Linked DNA regions of Drosophila melanogaster. The protein of the gene in region 4 purifies or fractionates together with the protein of the main gene of each other region. This does not show direct contact. Each region holds a gene or a part of one and is shown on either strand. Other genes may lie near its edges. The genes, in order: NC2beta, Atac2, Ada3 and wds.

What was found.
Region 1: the proteins of wds (region 4) and NC2beta purify together in Drosophila melanogaster (affinity purification with mass spectrometry, with the first as the bait; 2 studies listed by BioGRID). This does not show direct contact.
Region 2: the proteins of wds (region 4) and Atac2 purify together in Drosophila melanogaster (affinity purification with mass spectrometry; 4 studies listed by BioGRID). This does not show direct contact.
Region 3: the proteins of wds (region 4) and Ada3 purify together in Drosophila melanogaster (affinity purification with mass spectrometry, with the first as the bait; 2 studies listed by BioGRID). This does not show direct contact.

What each region holds. Positions count from the first base shown.
Region 1 is NT_033779.5:15,006,012-15,009,045, reverse strand, and holds NC2beta (negative cofactor 2beta), read right to left. Parts: upstream 1,234-3,034; 5' UTR 1,129-1,233; coding exon 577-1,128; 3' UTR 508-576; downstream 1-507. Other genes in the region: THG (tRNA-histidine guanylyltransferase), read left to right, coding at 1-364; Ankrd49, read left to right, coding at 1,705-1,840, 1,890-2,401; DCTN5-p25 (dynactin 5, p25 subunit), read right to left, coding at 2,507-2,728, 2,786-3,034. UniProt on the Drosophila melanogaster protein: Bifunctional basic transcription factor. Activates transcription of DPE (Downstream Promoter Element) containing promoters while repressing transcription of promoters which contain TATA elements.
Region 2 is NT_033779.5:18,609,021-18,613,957, reverse strand, and holds Atac2 (Ada2a-containing complex component 2), read left to right. Parts: upstream 1-1,708; 5' UTR 1,709-1,779; coding exon 1,780-2,189; intron 2,190-2,249; coding exon 2,250-2,401; intron 2,402-2,456; coding exon 2,457-2,631; intron 2,632-2,697; coding exon 2,698-3,929; intron 3,930-3,995; coding exon 3,996-4,351; 3' UTR 4,352-4,382; downstream 4,383-4,937. Other genes in the region: CG10333 (uncharacterized protein), read right to left, coding at 4,503-4,937.
Region 3 is NC_004354.4:18,083,977-18,088,944, forward strand, and holds Ada3 (transcriptional adaptor 3), read left to right. Parts: upstream 1-1,784; 5' UTR 1,785-1,935; coding exon 1,936-3,606; coding exon of another isoform or gene 3,607-3,702; 3' UTR 3,703-4,442; downstream 4,443-4,968.
Region 4 is NC_004354.4:2,584,033-2,588,734, reverse strand, and holds wds (will die slowly), read right to left. Parts: upstream 2,756-4,702; 5' UTR 2,457-2,755; coding exon 2,186-2,456; intron 1,975-2,185; coding exon 1,349-1,974; intron 1,295-1,348; coding exon 1,106-1,294; 3' UTR 518-1,105; downstream 1-517. Other genes in the region: CG13760 (uncharacterized protein), read left to right, coding at 3,528-3,737, 3,800-4,068, 4,133-4,272, 4,340-4,443.

The DNA.
Region 1 (3,034 bases), on a different chromosome or scaffold from region 4:
AAAAGGCCTGACGAACCAGCAAGCCGAGGCGAAACTCCGTGGCACCTTTTCGGCGGACAAAAATGAGCTGCTCTTCCAGGAATTCGGGATAAATTACAACAATCTGCCGGCAATGTACAGAAAGGGAACGATTCTGCTGAGAAAACGCGTGATATTGGGTGAGAAGAGCAGGCAGGCCGTGGTGCCGCTGCACGAGGATCTGATATCTTCGCAGTTCTGGAAGGAACACACCGAAATATTGGGAAAATATGTGCCAGGCACATACGACGCACCACAAACTTTTCCCCGATTGGTGGAGATGCAAATAAATGGCAAGGATGACAATGAGGCGGAGGAGCCACAAAATCTGGCTGGTACCAGCTGATATAATAACGAATAGTCTTGCATTTTTAAAGATTAAAGTTACGATACATCTAAGGAAGTCGTTTCGGAGATTGAGGATGCGGTGCCCAGGCTGCTGGAGTGAAGGACAAACGGATGATCCGTAATGAAGAGTAGCTAATAGTTGAAAGTTCAACTTATGGCATATATTTTAAGATTAAATCTACACTAAGCTCATAGAAAGACTATTTCCTACTAGTAGTCGTCGTCGTCATCGTCATCGTCATCCTCACTTGGCTTGCTGGCAACGGAGCCGTCTGCCAGCGGTGGTCGCTGCACCATTGCTGCCGCTTGCATGCTCATCCACTGCTGCTGCTCCTCGCGCGCCTGCTCCTCGCGTGCCTTGGCGAACAGCTCCTGCTGCTGGCGCAGCAGCTCCTCCTCCGGAATGCCCAGGTTCTCTAGGCGCGTGCTCTGGCGCCTTCGCTTGGCTGCCACCTCCTTGCAGTCGTGCAGAACGGCCTCCGCCTCTTGTTTGTAGTCGTGAAAACCCAAGCGTTCCAACGCCTCCAGGACGTGCTCTGCGTTTATCGTCTTCTTGTTGCGCATGTTGCACACCTCGTTGGCCTCCGAACTGATCAGATGAATGAACTCTGAGCAGCAGTTGAGTATCAGCTCGCGACTCTCGTTGGCCACCCGCACCGTGGGCACCAGCTCCTTGATGATCTTGTTGATGCTGGCCCGTGGCAGGGTCAGCTCGTCGTCCTCGGCGCTGGGCGGCAGTAGTTCTTCCTGCGGATTCGACATGGCGTCCTGGTTTCAAGGAACAAACAAACAAACAAACTTGGAAGCAGATGTTTTTCTCGGATTTACTAGTATAGTGTGCTAGAGTGGCCGTTTACTGCTAACAGAAAAATGTAATCGAAAAATTATTGTTTTTGTAAATAAATGAAATCATTAATTGATTGAAATGAACTATATAAAGCATATATAGCTAAAAATAAAATATATAAATGATGATATAAAATGATGTATATCATTTATGTATTCAACACAAATTTAATGGCTTAATAATCTTTGATTAATTTGATTTTGATGAATATTATAAATAATACAGCCTTTTTTTAAATGGCAGACTTTTCAAATAAAAGAATAATTTTTTTATAATTCCTACCATTATTTATATAAATAGTTTTTTTTTTTTTATTTGAAAAACCAAATGTACTGTTCTTTTTAAAACTCCACTCTTCGTTTAGTATATTTTTAAGTGTTTAGTATTTTTTTAAGTGTACTTAAGCGGCTAAGCAACGGTCACTTTGAGAAATAGAAAACAAAAAGTTGAGCTGTTTAAATTCCGGCTTATTATTAATATATTACCACAAAATGGGGGACTACGATTCCGATGATGAAAAATCACAGGTGGAGAAGCTGCGCCACGCCAAAGTGCCGCGCGGAATGTTCGTGAGCGGCTGGGACGACGATGCCGACGAACTGATCGAAGAGGACAAGAACCCACAAAGTAAGTAGAATACATTTTAGAGAAATAGTTTAATTAAACATCATCATAGGCAGCATTGAACGCATGATTCTGTGGGCGGTGAACGAGAACCGCATCAGCGAGGTGCGGGAAATCCTAAAACTGGACGCAGACACCGTGAACGCCAAGGATAACGACGGATACACGCCGCTGCACCGAGCTGCCTATAATAACTTTGTGGATATGGCCAAGTTGCTGCTGCAGTACCATGCCAATCCCAACGCCCGCACGGAGCTGGGATGGACGCCATTGCACTCCGCCTGCAAGTGGAACAATGCGGATTGCGCCCATTTGCTGCTGCAGTTTGGCGCCGATGTAAATGCGGAATCGGACGGCAAGCAGACGCCGCTTCACATAACCGCCACTGTGTCCAATTGTCGGAATACGGCCACGGTCCTTCTGCTGGACCGATACATCCAGCCGCGCAAGGAGAACAACTCCGAGGAACTGGCCTCGGTGATTGCCCGTCGTACTGGCATGAGTTTTCCCATTTTCGAGTCCGGCGAGGAAGCCTACGACTGCGAAACGGGACTGATAGATTAATCACTTAATAGTCAAACTATGCGCATACTTATAGAATAACTAATATAATATGTTTATTTCATAAATAATGTTTTCTGTCGATGGAATTGGTAGACACCACGATTTTCAGCTGGCTGGCGCTGGAGCCCTCACGAAATGCTCGTAGAATGACTTAGTGTAGTTGATCATCTCGTCCTGCATGGCGGCGGGCACAAAATACGGATTGCCCTGGCCACCCTCGATGGTTCCCCTCGCCGTGTAACGCATGTAGCTGGACACGGTAGTTTCTGGCGGCAGGACAGCCCCATCCTCAATTACACAGCAGTCTTTCAAAACACAGCGACGGCCCTGAAAGATGGTAAAAGTAAATGGATTACAAGGGTATAACAATAAGTAATAGCTTACTATGATGGCATTCTTGCCGATGTACACATAGGATCCAATGGTGGCCGCCGAGACGACTGCTCCTTCGCCAACGAAAACATGCTCACCGACGTGCATGGGAAAGAAGGCGATTCCCTTGCTGAATTGTTTGTACGGCGGTCGGATGACGGAGTTCTTGCCAATCACACAATATCTTCCCGTCCGGACATTGGCCAGATCGCCGCGAATGATGGCGCCGCTCTGTACGATCACCTTGCCGTTCAAAATAAT
Region 2 (4,937 bases), on a different chromosome or scaffold from region 4:
GGTTGTTATGAACAAAATGGGTGGCCAAACAAATTCTAACCAGCATCGCATCTGTAAATGTCATAATCAGCTAGTAAACGACTATCCAATTTGTCAAGCTCTTTCCAGAAAATATTTACCCTCGAGCTTTAAGTGATTTATGAGTGAAACTCATTTTAACTTTCGCAAAACTAAGATATAGATATACTTTAAAACATAATTCGGGGATATACTTTTGGCTGTAGTAGCACCAACAAATTAATTTGTTTCACCATATTTTTCGCTCTTTTCGACTTGCCAGCGGGCAGTCGCGAATTAAATGAAAATCTCCTCGAGGCGCCAGACAAGCAAGTTGAAAGGAATTCAACTACAGATATTAAAGGCAGGGAAGAACTTGAAGTGCAATATTCAAATTGAATTGAAAACGATGAGTGTTGAAGTGAAATCGTAAATAGGTGCATATCCTGTAAGATGCACAAACTGCATGCTTTGCAGTAATAATCATTCGGCAAATAGAAAGTGATTTACAAAAGAAACAATTGTGGATCCGTTCAGCTTTGGTTCTCAACTGAATACCCCACTTAGCCGGCCTGCAGTTTCGACCATCCCACTTCAGTCCATAAACCAATCATGCACTTCATCAAACACACAACAACAGCAGAAGCAGAAGCAGAAGCAACAGCTTCGCCAGAACGCAGCAGCCGGCGATGCCTAATTAGGCCCGCTTAAGACAACACACTGACCGGGCCAAAAGCAATGGGGCCAGGTCCGATGGTCGATGGTCTGCCGGAAACAGCCTTAATTATGCGTAAGCCGTAAAGAGCCCATTAATGTCATTTTCGTTGCATGGCCAAAGGACGCTGGGCGTTGGGTGGTGGGTGGTGGGCGTTGGTACTAATGTGCTTGGTGGGCGTAGGGCGTGACAAACGCATGCTTGATCAAGCGAAACGGGACTGTACTAATCAAGCGGATTCTTATCTTCTAGATAGGGAGAACATAAAAAACAATCGGGATCTTTTATATAGTGTATATAAGGGCATAAGGATATGCTAGATTCGTTGAAAAGTAGGTAACTGGCATAAGAAATAACAAAAGAAAAAGTCATTCCCGACAGTATTAAGCATATATATGTAATCAGGATCAGTGGACGAGTCGATTAAAACGTGTCCTTCTGTTCGTCCGTATAAGCGCTGTGATCTCGGGAACTTAAAAGTTAGGAAGCTAAGATGGAGCAATCAGATTCTAGACATGTAGACGCATCACAGTTTGTTTCAGAAGAATGCCACGCCCACTCTAACGCCCACCAAGAGCTCAAAACTTTTAAAAAGTGTTTTGATATTTGCTTGCAATTTCTAAAAATGTGACAAGAAAATGTTGAATACACCTGAGAAGAGGGTATATAATATGCGAAGACCATAGCCTTGTCTCTGTTCCATATTAATTAAAAATGCTTATTTATGACATTTTAACAATAAAAAATTATTTTAAATTATGTTAATGCTGACATCTTCGGCATTTTAAAACGGCAATGTTAATAAATAAATAAGTGCTTAATAATAATATGTTTTGTAGTGCTTCAGAAAAGATCAATTAAGAATACAAATTAATTTTATTTTTTGTTTTCCCAATTCAAATTATTGACAAATTTGAACCGAGCACAGTGCGATTTTTTGGTATTTTCAAAATGTAAGCTTCTCATATATATGGTATAAACCAAAAAGTGCGAAACGGTAACACACAAACAACACATTATTTTGTTGATTGTTTTTAACTTGCAATTTGTGCTGTTTTACTGAGTAAATGAATCGGCCCAGTAACTGGGATGATCCCCAGGGACCATGCCGCTACTGTGAATCGCCGGTGGAGGACGACAACTACCTGGAGTGCCAGGAATGCAGGCGGATGGTTCACATCAAATGCCTGCCGCATGCTTGCACGCCCGGAGATCTTTTAGGCGACGTTTTCTTCGAGTTCACGTGCGTCAAGTGTGTGCTGGATAAAGCTAAGGAATCGGTCATACCCTCAGATCTAGAACCCATTAAGGAAGTGATCGTGCGCCAAAGGATACCTTGGCTGCTGGTGCTCACCCTAACGCTCTACAATCTGTCCATCAAACAAAAGGGCTTGGGACACCATGGATTCTTCCATTGGCGCACGCACATCATCAGTTTTGTGGACAAGAACTGGAACTATATATTCGGTCCCAATGTGTAAGTATTCGTAAATGAATAATTTCCGGAGAACACATTCAATTTATTCCCCTTGTTCAGGCGGCGTCGCAAGCAATGGACTGGTTCCGTATCCGGCGCACTGTCCCACAACAGTCCGGAGTACTTTCAGTCTGGTCTGGATGTCTTTCAGGAGAACGGCTGGTGGAAACTGGCCAAGCCCTTTCAAACCCCAAGAAGCGTTCTCAAAGAATGTAAGTGCCACTTAAGTTAATGATATGATAGATTTCACAAGTCGTCACATTTCAGATGAGAAAAAGCAACAGTTGCGGCTACAAATGCGTATTGAAAAGCGGTTGCCTGCAGCGGACGAGACCAGCTGTAGCAGCGAGATCTCAGTGGCGGATCATGCCCAGGATAACCCACCGCTTATTAAAGCAGAAGCTGAGAAACCCAGTTCAACAGAGGGCTGTGCGCGAACAATGTAAGATAATTAATTTTGAATACAACTATGCGTTCCTTTCATTAAAATCTTTCACTTTTATTCCAGTCCCTACATGGGCCGTTTGCCAAAGATACAAACACAACCTTCACCCTTGTCACAGGAAACGCTTCCAGGGCCACCAATTCTTCAAGAAAATATAGCGCCACCAAGTCAGAAGGAGGAAGAACCACAGAATCAGCCTATGAGCATGGTCCAAGCAGGCCTGATGGATTTTCTGGCTGAAAGTTTGGAAAGCGATGATTTTACCATGTTTGGTAACCTACCAGGCATAATGCCCCCACCCCTGATTGGAGCGGGTAAAAATGATTTCTTCATGACCGAGCCGTTGCTTCACGCACCTTTGAATAATGAAGGTCTTTTCGACATGGATACAAATTTTGCCATACCAAATACCGCTGATGAGACCAAACCCATATCAACAGAAGAACCTGCAGCCGAAAGCAGCGAGGAACAAAAAGAAGGCGAGGTAGAAGATGAAAAGCCAGAAGAGGACGAATCACCCGACTATCAGCCACGCATCGTACAGGTTACAAATTACCAGGCGCAAGAGGCAAACGAAAGCATCAAAGAGGAACCACTAGAAGAGATAATGCAAGATGATGACGTCACGACAAATAGCAAATCCTCTATCCTAGAGCCTTGCAAACCGAGTGGATTTGTCAGACAACCACGGCGAAATTGGCCCTGGTTGCAGGAGGCGCAGGATCCCGATGACATGGCCATTCCTAGCGAAAATCTCAAACTAATAAATGCATACGAAGAACAGAAGTTGTACCAGCGACTCGATAGAATATTCGCACTGGAGCATCAGTGCCACATATCCATACCTGCCTATGTGCGGCGCCTATATCGAAAACTTTCTCTTCGAAAATGGAAAAGGGACCACAATCGACACATATTTAACTTGGACGAGCACATAGATCCCCTGGGAAGAGCACGCCTAAAGATGCTGGGTCATCAGAAGGCCGAAATTCTTGACAGATATCAGTTGTTAGCCCATTCACGACAAGATGCAAGGAGCTCCTTTCACGCCCGCCTGGCGGGATGCACTCAATACGAGCTCTTTGAATCGCCCTACTCTCAAAGAGTTCTTCATCCATTTATCTTTCGGAGCGAAACGATGGCTCCTCCATGGCTGAAGCTTATGTGCGAGCTGCAGCATAGAGTAAACGGATCTCATCCCACAAGATCTACCATCGACTTCTGTTTTGTGAGACCGCAGCATATTCCGGCCGTAAACGCATTACTCCAAAGTACTTTTTGGCCAAACATTGATGGTGGGTTTCATGATTTTCTTTTTAGCTTTTTTAATGTACAAATTTGTATGATTTTTTCCCTTTTAGTAAGCGAGTGTTTGAGCTACCCGGACTACAGTGTAGTGGCGTTGTACAAGAAACTGGTCATCGGTTGCGGATTCCTAGTGCCCGACGTAGGTTACAACGAGGCCTACATCTCATTCATGGCGGTGCGGCCGTGCTGGCAACGCAGTGGCATCGCCAGCTTCATGTTATATCACCTTATCCAGACATGTATGTCCAAGGACATAACGTTGCACGTTTCCGCCACCAACGCGGCCGTCATGTTGTACCAGAAATTCGGATTTAAGATGGAGGAAATCATCTTGGACTTTTATGACAAGTATCTGCCTCTGGACTCGAAACAGAGCAGAAATGCCTTCTTTTTGAGATTACAAAGATGAGACTTTTTTCAAATAAATGGTTTATGAATCTAAAGTTTCAAAAGACTATTTCGAAAGAGAATTTTTGGTTGCCAAGGTATGGCTTTGGCGCACCCAACTTTATTAGTTTTAAATTTTAACCTAAAGTAGTTCTGCTTAGAATTTGCCAAATTTAGGCGAATATTTTTTCCTCCCTGCGCTTTTTGGTAACCACCGTGCCAGGCTTGTGCTGCGCTTCCGGGTGATTCATTAGCTCCGGCGGACAGGTCGAGACAGGACTTGCAGACACACATTGCTTTAGATCGTAGAACAAAGCGCTATCGTCCTTGGTGACAAACGAAATGGCACAACCGGTTTTGCCGGCACGACCCGTACGACCGATACGATGTGTGTAATCCTCGATGGTCTTGGCCATGTCATAGTTAATAACCAAGGACACGTCCTTGATGTCGATACCACGACCAGCGACGTCGGTGGCCACCAGGATGTCCTTTGCGCCTGACTTCAAAGCAGCCAAAGCATACTCTCTCTGCTCCTGACCCTTGCCACCGTGCAATGTGCACGAGTTGTAGCCGAGTTTCTCCAGACCCTTAGCCAAAACATCGGC
Region 3 (4,968 bases), about 15 Mb from region 4:
CGACTGGGCTTATAAAACATGTGCTAGTGCCGTTTTCAAACAACAGCTGACACACAAAAGCCCCATAATCGCTGAGACATCGCCGGAACGGAACACATCGACGACGACGACGACACACGTAGACGCAAATATTTGATCAATAAAACAAGAGCGGAGGGTTTGTTCAGGTTTTGGCGGCACTGCAAATACCCTTACCCGCCCGCGGTTATTGTTCGACATATTGTTCTAGATATTATGTGCAATCCACGATGGGATTATCTCGCAAAACAAACGTGTTTGTGTGTACACTATCCTTTCTATGACGAGATATAAATTCAAATTAGCTACGATTTTCAGTTGTTCTATCTACCAGATGATATTCACATTGCCAAGATTGCAAATAGCAAAAACAAAGAATTAACTAAAGAAACAAAGAACTATATAGACTGATGATCACTTTTTACTTGAGATAATAGATGGGGGAAGCTTGTATTTATCTTTGTATTGAAGAACAAACAAAAGAAACTCGAAACGAATATATCACTTCTCTTTAATGTACACATCTTATGGAATACAAAACATGAAACCAAGCTTAAATAAAACACTTTTGTCCGCTGTTCATTTATATTAAATTGTTTTCACTGTTTATTTTAGGATCTTTAGAACCGAAACTCTCGGGGATCGAATTTTAACTTAAACAATACACTTCGCACTTTTTGATTGTAAAATAGACAAGTCGAAGTTAAGTTAATTGGCGTAGAACGAAAATAAAAAACTTTTGCAGTTCGGTGATAGATCATAGCTTAAAGGTGGCATTGCAAACCTCTTCTGATAGCGAAAATGCCCAGTTGGGAAAGTGTAGTCAAATCGAAGGGAAACAGCGTTTTGAAGCTGGGATATTTGTGCATATGTCGGCACGACTGAACCCAACTAAACCGAACTGAATCGCTGGATGTTGGCTTTTGATTTTCGTTGATTCCCGCCCGCGGGGAGGGGGGGTGTGGTCGTGAGCAGCGAAGGGGGCGTGGCGGCTGAGCGTCAATTCGACTTGTCTTGTGATTTGCGCCTCACAATTGGACAAACGAGGCGCAATTGGAGGCAACCAGTCCGAGATTATCGGATGCTTCGATGTTTTGGGTGCTTGGATGTTCAAATGTTTGGATGTGTTTGCATGCTTTGTGGGATTTTGGGGGGGTGGGGTTTGGGAAATGGGTGTTCAATTACATAAAATTACATACATACACTGCAGTTTGCACTTGCAGTTCGTCTGCGGAAGGGGGGGAATGGGTCTACTCTAACATCGCAAGCTGCTCCCACTGGCCATTACAAATTGTCAACAGTCGCTGATTTGTTAAGTACACTGCTTATCACCGAAATAGCGCGCATATCACTAAAAAATTCAGACGACGACGGGCGAAATGCGAACGCCAAACAACAACAAAGAACTGAACAAAAAAGCAAAGTATTGGTAAGCACGCGCGCTACGCGGCCACCAGTGTTGCACAGCGCTGGAGCAGCTCTGTTGTGCACGATCACTGTTATAGTTGCAGAGAGTATTTTTCACTATTTTGTGGATAAAATCAAGTGGTATGAAAATGTATCCATGCGATAATGTTCCGTTATCTTCAATTGCTGAAATAAAGTCAAATAAACAGTTTCAATTACTGCTAAAGTTAATTAATGAAATGCTAGTTAAGTATGTCTTAAATTATAAATATTTAGCTACTCATGAGAATTTTTTTTGTTTGGCCCACTGTGCATAACCCGCGCGTGTAGCCCATTCCAGTATTTTACCATCTTGTACATTAGTATTTACCCGTCTTCCGCTACGGTCACACTGCCATATCGACGCAAAACAAATTGCGATTTTCACAACACAAGAAAAGCAGGAAAAACAGCAAATATATCCGCAATCTAGCTAACACACAGGTCCCCAACCAGTCGCAGTCGCGTTCCATGAGTGCGAACCTGAAGAATATCAAACTGGCCCACTTCAGTGGTTCGCTCGGTTCCGGTGGCTTTGGCATCTCTGCGTCATCCGGAGGAGCTGGAAAACTGCCCACAAATGGCACAGGTGGCGGCAAATCCGCCCCAACGAGCACCTTCCTGGACTCCGAGGTGCTGGCCACGCCCGGCGGCGTCGTTATACCAATAATTCGCACTCGGGACGTGCCCAAATTGCTGCCCACCATTGCAGCGGCACTGCAGCGTCCGGCGGATGATCATTTGGCGGCCGAGGATCTGGATGCAGTGCAACTGGAGCTGGAACAGATGCTCTCCAATGTGGCGCTGCGCACGCGCGTCCTGAAAGCGGAGTATGATAGCCTCGACAAGGATGAGAAGCGCCAGGATCGAAGAAAGCTCGACCGTGTGCCTGGATCGCCACCTTGTCCGGCTAGCATGCTCAACGGCTTGCTGGGCATCGGCAGCAACTCGTCGACGAGTCTGGGCAGCCCGCTGGGCGGCGGAGGCGCCTCATCCTCTAGCCAATCGAAGCGCAAGCGGGATGAGCCAACGGGCGTGCGCAAAAAGCACTCTTCGATGACCATTCTCAAGCAACAGGGCGTTTCCGGCGGCACCTCGAAGCACCAGGCCAAGAACAGCCCCTTGGTCGTGCACACCGACGACAGCATGGACTATCTGCCCACACTGGCGGCCGCCAATGCCTCTGGATCCGTGCTGCCGCATCACCAGCCGCTGCCGCAGCTACCGAAAATGACGGTGCCCAAGAACGATACGCCCAACAAGTTCTGGCTATCCGTGGAGCCCTACTGCATGCCTCTAACCAACGAGGATCTGCGCCTAATCGATGACCTGCTGGAGCAGTATTGGGGTCCACTGGTGCCGCCAGTGCCACCTCTGGGTCCCCACTACTCCACAGTTTGGGCCCAGGAGGATATAAAGGCGCTGCAGCCGGGCGGAGCTCGAATTAAATCGAACAATTCCAGCGGAATGCTCAAAAAGGCCGAAGGCATGGTGGATGAGAGCATCACTGGTCCACTCACCCAGCGTTTGGTGTCCGCCTTAATGGAGGAGTCCCTGATGACGCTGCCCAGCGAACAGGCCGCCGTGGGCGAGCACAGCAACAGCACCACGAGCAGCAGCAACGAGAACACCCACTCGCACTCCTCGTCCTCGGCAAATGCTGCCGCAGCAGCTGCTTCCGGGAACTTTCGATCTCTCGCCATGATGAAACACGGCGTGGGCATCGAACAGCGCCTGAAGAAGACTCTCATCGAGAACGGACTGATCGATGCCAGTGAGTTTGCGGCCCACGAAGACGTGGACGAGGTGCTGATGGAGATCAAGCGCGTAACGACCGAAATCAGCACCATTTCGCAGTTTAACAGCGAGGAATTGAAGCGACTGCGTGCCGTTGCCAGTGAGGAAATCAAGCGCATTGCCATCAAACAGAAATTGGACATGGTGGACCAGGAGATACTCGAGTGCTACAAGCGAATGCTGCAGTATCGGGCCAAGCGCAAGGGCCACACCATCGAGGAGAAGCAGGAGATACTGCGGCTGACCAACGAGCAGCGCCTACTTGCGGATCAGCTGGAGCGTATGCAGATGCATCTGCCCTGCATCGGCGGCTCCGGCAACTCCCTGTTAGAGCCAAAGATGTAGGACAGGAGCCTGGCCTGGGGCTGGTGCCAGCTAATGGCCATGCATCAGGCAAAGAGGCAGGTCCGCGACGCTAGCCTCAAGCTGCAGTGCGTCTGAAGGAGCTGCTCCTCCTTACTCGCCACTCCTTTCATTTCGCCAGACTGTAAATTAGCCACGCTATTCGACACGTACACGTAGCCTCTAGTGTCCGCAATCCAAGTTGTGGACGTTTTGGGAAGATGCGCTCATGGTGGCGGAAAATGTTTTGCATAAGTTTTCCTCGAGTTTTGGCATTCGTTTTCCCCAAATCGAACGCCACTTTTGAGTCGTTTTCGACTAGCTTCCAAACCCGTATTCTTATCTTCGTCACCAGACTGTACATTAACAAAGATACATTAGCTCATAGAATGTAGTGTTCAAGATTAAAGTGAAATTAATTATTTAGATAAGATCTTCAAGTGGCGGAGAGTAGCGTTTGCGTATTTTAAACTGTTCTTTTACAAAATCATAATTTCCCTTTCCTTGCTTAGTAACGTATTCCGTATTCTGTAAGCCTACAGTTTTTTGCCAATTTGTTTGTAATTGCCTGAAAATTAAATGGATATCCGTAGATTTTACATGCTAAATGCTAAATTTGATTTTGTGTACATAAAAGTGGAGGGTGAGATTCGCATTATTCGCTAAATGAACTGAAAAACTTTCCGCTACTGGAATTTCCCAAAATTTTACGAGCACGTTGTTTTCCTCATGTCTTTCGCAACTATAAATATTGATTCACCCTATTTAACACTCCCAAATACATACACTTTGTATAGCTTAAGTTATCGCGCGGCAATAAAGTCGTCACTATCGAGAGTAAAGCACAGAATTTTCCACCATGGGAGTGAGTTTGGGAGGAGAGAAACCACCGCGCTGGGCGAACGCTGCGTACGCTTTGAGCTCGATCTGGCCGACGAAGCGGGCAAGTGAACTCCAGCGGATGTGGGGAATCCTCTGCCGTTGCTTCGATCTTGTTTGCCCAGCCGATAAGGCGCAATCAAAGTCGGCAACTCCAGCGTACGGCTAATTAAAGCCAAACAAGCGAGCCGGCCATCTTCGATCGGAGGAAGCCCTTCCGGGCCACGCGGATTGGCTATCTCTAGAACGCTAATCGCCAGGCAAATATATCCAGAAACAAACTTTATTATACGTAGCAAATGGCAGTCAAATCTGATCTTCTAATATGTGCAAGTTTTTAGTCTTGGGTGAACACGTCGTCAGTGGCCTTCCTCTGAATGTATGCTAGATGATGTTTGTGGGTATAAAGATTCATTGTACTTCATGTATGCCGCGGTGCATCTTGCTTGACTGGTCGATCCCTTTCGCCCGCCACCCGATCCCGTA
Region 4 (4,702 bases):
GTGTGTGTGTGTGCGCGACGGCGGCGGAGCGATATTGATTTGCAAATTAATTGCAAAATTCACTTGGCGACTTTTGTTCAGCGGGTTGGCGCGCGCATCGCAGGGGCATTCGGATTCGGCAAGGTTCTGAATCAAGTGAATCGAATCCGTGATCTCCGAGTTTCGATTCGTCGGTTTTTTCGATTTTCGTTTCGCCAAGTGACCGTCGCGCGCCGTTGTCGAAATCCAGTGGCAAACGTTCAAACTGAACGGGCAGTGTGGCCCTCTTCAACCGAACTCAACGCAGGGTCGCACTCCAATAGGCGCTAGAGTTTAAAAATAAATAACTTAAAGAAAACGTCTACGTTAAGTATTATACCTGTGTTCATTCATTTAAAAACCGTAATATATTAAACGTACTTATTATCGCTTTTAAACCGTAATGAAGGTTCGTTTGTTTCGTAATTTTGCTAAACTGTATGTTTTTTTAGAATTAAAACTTCTCTTATTATGTGAATAAAATGCAATTTGTACATTTAAGTGTCTCGCCTCGAAAAGCGCGCAAGTTGAAAGGACACTTGGGCGCCGCCGAGACGGTGTTTTCTTTTATTCAAAATTTACATTTCGTATTTTATATATATTCTTTCTGGCGCTGGGATTCTGCCCCGAGCACCTGTTGTATCTTTTACGCTTAAATTTAGTTTTCTCGTCACCGAAAGATCATTATAAGTTATGTTGGTTTGCGTGGCTGTGTCAAAGGTTACAAACAATTTTGGGGGAATATTCTCGCTTGCATGGTGGGCCAATACAATAGGCTAATAAATATTTATACATTAATCGTTTTTTTTGTTTTCACTTTTTGTTGTTTTTTTTTTTTGTTTTTGTTTGTTTGTTTGTAATTTTTCCGTTTTGCCGTAGAATGTGAGGTTTAAAGTGTGATTTAAACGTAGAATTTTAGAGTTCCTTTTCTTTTTTAAATTATGCGTACAAAAAAAAAAGGGGGCTCGTGGTGGGGGGGTGTGGGGGTGTTACAATTACGATTAGGCTGTTCGCTTTAAAATAATATTATCCAAGAAATGTATGTGTGTGTTCCGATCGAACGTCCTCCAGCTGGATACCAGCCACTCTATGTATCCGACTTCCACAGCTTGATGGTCTTGTCGTTCTCGAGCGCCGCGGAAGCAATGATGTTCTCCGTGGGATGGCAGGCGGTGCACAGAACGGTATCGGTGTGTCCCTGCAGCTTTTGCACCACCTCCTTGCTCTGCAGATTCCAAATGTAGACCATGTTGTCCTCGCTGCCACTCACGATCCACTACAATGGACGCTTGTGAGTTAAAGCCTAAATGTGCATAAGATATGAACTCACCTTTCCTCCCGTCACCGAGAAGTTGGCGAATATGCAGTACTTCTCATTCTTGTGACCCGTATACGTCTTCAGGCACTTGCCCTTCGAGTAGTCCCACAACTTGAGCGTATTATCCAGCGTGGCGGCCAAAATGTACTTGCCATTGGGCGAGAACTTTACAAAGCTGACGGGCGGATTGTCGTCGTCGATCAGGGTTTTCAAGCACTGTCCACTGGCCGTGTCCCATATGCGACAGAGGCCGTCGTAGCTGCTGCTCACGATCAGCGATCCGTCGCGATTGAAATGTACCGCCGAAACGGGATCGGAATGGGCGGGTAGAGTCTTCAGACACTTGCCGGTGCGCACATCCCATATGCGAACGCTCTCGTCGAAGCTGCCGGAGACGATCAGATTGGACTGCGGATTAAAGTTGCAGCAGAACACATAGTTGCTGTGGCCCTTCAGAGTTTTCAAGCTCTTCCCGGTGCTCAGCTCCCAGACCTTGAGCGTCTTGTCATCACTGCCGCTCACGAGGAGTCGCGAGTCTGAGCTCCAGGCCACATCGCTGATGCCCAGCTTGTGGCCCGAAATGGTCTTCTCGAACTTGCCATCGTATGCTCCCCAGATTTTGATTAGTTTATCAGCGGCTGAGGGTTAGAAGTGGAAGTTTAATAGGCATGTGCTGTATGTATGGAATGTACAATATGTATTCTATAAATGCTTCTTCTCTTTTCCGAGATCTTATTTCATCCCAATTCCCATTAACTGAGCTGCCAAAGCTGCCTGTTCAGTCCAATAGCAGTTCAGTACCATAAAATTCCCCCCCAGATATTCGTGGATAGGGATGTATGTACTTACAGGAGCTGGCCAGCCACTCGCCATTCGGACTGAACTTGACCGCCGACACCGCCTTGGTGTGCCCGGCCAGCGTGAACTTGAGCGTGTAGTTGGGCTTGACGGATAGCGAGCTCTTGTTGGAGGCGCTGCTGTTCGAGGAGGTGGTGGCCCCCGGCTGGCCCACCGAGTTCGGCTGCAGCGAGTTTGGGCCGCTGGGCGCCGTGGGCAGTGGTTGCTGTGGCGGATGCACTACGCCGGGATGGCCGCCGTGCACGGCTCCGATGGGCACCATGTCCTCCGGATGCGGATTCTGCTTATGCTCCTTGGCCTGGCCTCCTTGTTTATTTTCCTTTTTTCTTTGGCACGCCGCACACGTGCTTCTTCTTCTTGTTGTTCCGACTAGAGAAACGCCGCCAATTAGCGGGCGAATTTGTTGGGCCTGTCGGATTAACTGCAGCTACTCCCGTTACCGGTGGTCACCGGCTGCTCTCTCTGCTGGGCGTGTGATTTGTTTGTTTAAATAGGCGCTTGGTTTTTTGGCTCGTTTGCGTGCCACACGTGAAAATAATAATGCTTAAGGTCACACTAATAACTAAAAATTGGTCAGCGCGTCAGTGTGGCCGTTGCGCACCAGCCACGGATTGCCACAGCGGTGGTGGAACGTGTTTACTCGATTCCTTGCTTTTTGTTTTTTTTTTTAGGGAGATTTGGGATGTTTTCGTCCTTGGGGGATGATTCTAGAATGGGACTCTTAGTTTCCCGCTGAAACTATCAGGGGGAGTGCATCGGGCACATCGATGCCAAATTGCATGCAGTTAGCTCGACGTTGCCAGATCGTTTCATACATGTTTGAAGTTTCGCGTACAGTTGCATTTAAATTTATACCAATTGCCAGTAGTTATTTAGTCTTAAAATTGCAGGTAATTCTAACTGAACTGTCAATTTTGAAGGGCTTAAGAAGGATTTACATAGTGTTAGAACATTTTTTGCGCCTTTAAGATTTCAAACCAAAAATTTCCTAGCAGCAACCAAGATTTGTAGGAAAATACATCTAACTCCTTTGGCGACTCACAATTTATGTATAAATATTATTTAATTACAATATTTACAATATATATCTAAAAAAATTCAATTGGCATTTTTTTCAACTGGACATAGCCGACAGTTGGCATTCCGCAGACAGCTGCACCTGGCCACACTGGCCCAAGCTGTTAGACCAAAACATTCCCAGTTCAGTTTCCAATTGGACGCCAGGATCAAAGGAGCGCAGCCGCGGGCACAGGAGCACGCGAAGCACACGGAGCCAAGGACTCGAGGACCCGAGGAGCACAAGAAGCCAAGAAGAGCCCAGCTGCTGGCCAGAATGAACGGACTGCCGCCGAGCAAGCACTACAACCTGACGCACTACCAGCAGCGCTACAACTGGGACTGCGGTCTGTCCTGCATCATTATGATCCTGTCGGCGCAGCAAAGGGAACAGCTTCTTGGGAACTTTGATGCCGTGTGCGGCGAGGAGGGATTTGGCTCGAGCACCTGGACCATCGACCTGTGCTATCTGCTGATGCGCTACCAGGTGGGCATGCCGTGATGCACATTTGCATTCGCTCACTTCTTTGACACTCTCTTCTTGGCCAGGTGCGCCACGAGTACTTCACCCAAACGCTCGGGATCGATCCCAACTACGCGCAGCACACGTACTACTCCAAGATCATCGACAAGGACGAACGGCGCGTGACGCGCAAGTTCAAGGACGCCCGGGCCCATGGACTGCGCGTTGAACAGCGCACCGTGGACATGGAGGTCATTCTGCGGCATTTGGCCCGCCACGGACCCGTCATCCTGCTGACCAACGCCTCGCTGCTCACGTGCGAGGTGTGCAAGCGCAATGTCCTAGAGAAGTTCGGGTGAGTTCCTCTTGCCACCGGCGATTCACAAAAAACCACCTTAAATCCACACTCGAATGAAAAGCTGTTTTCATATACCCTGCATTGCTCAAAATACACGCCTCCATGGACCCAAAAGGTATGCCGGACACTATGTGGTGCTCTGCGGATATGACATGGCCGCCCAGAAGCTCTTCTACCACAATCCCGAGGTCCACGATGGCCGTGAGTATTCCATTTGGTAGCAATCCTTGAAAATTCATTGATTTTCGTTTTTGGCTGCGTTCCACAGACATTTGTCGCTGCCTCATCGAGTCCATGGACACGGCCCGACGCGCCTACGGCACGGACGAGGACATCATTTTCATATACGAGAAGAAGGAAACTAGGGAGTAGTAGATGGATAAACCAGCGGAACAGATGAACAAATGAACAGATGAATTGATGAACAGATGAACAGAAGTACCTGCCGTCGCCAGGTTGCCAGGTGATGAGAACGGATGATTGGAATCTGCGCTTGTGATATTAGGACTTTAGGAGGAGACCTTGTAGGGGGGGACTTCGAGTGGGAGGTAAGAGAAAAAGCTGTCTGGTTAACTTTGGCACAACAGTGTACTTTATTTAGGTATTGTTAGCAGTTGGTCCCCATACAAAA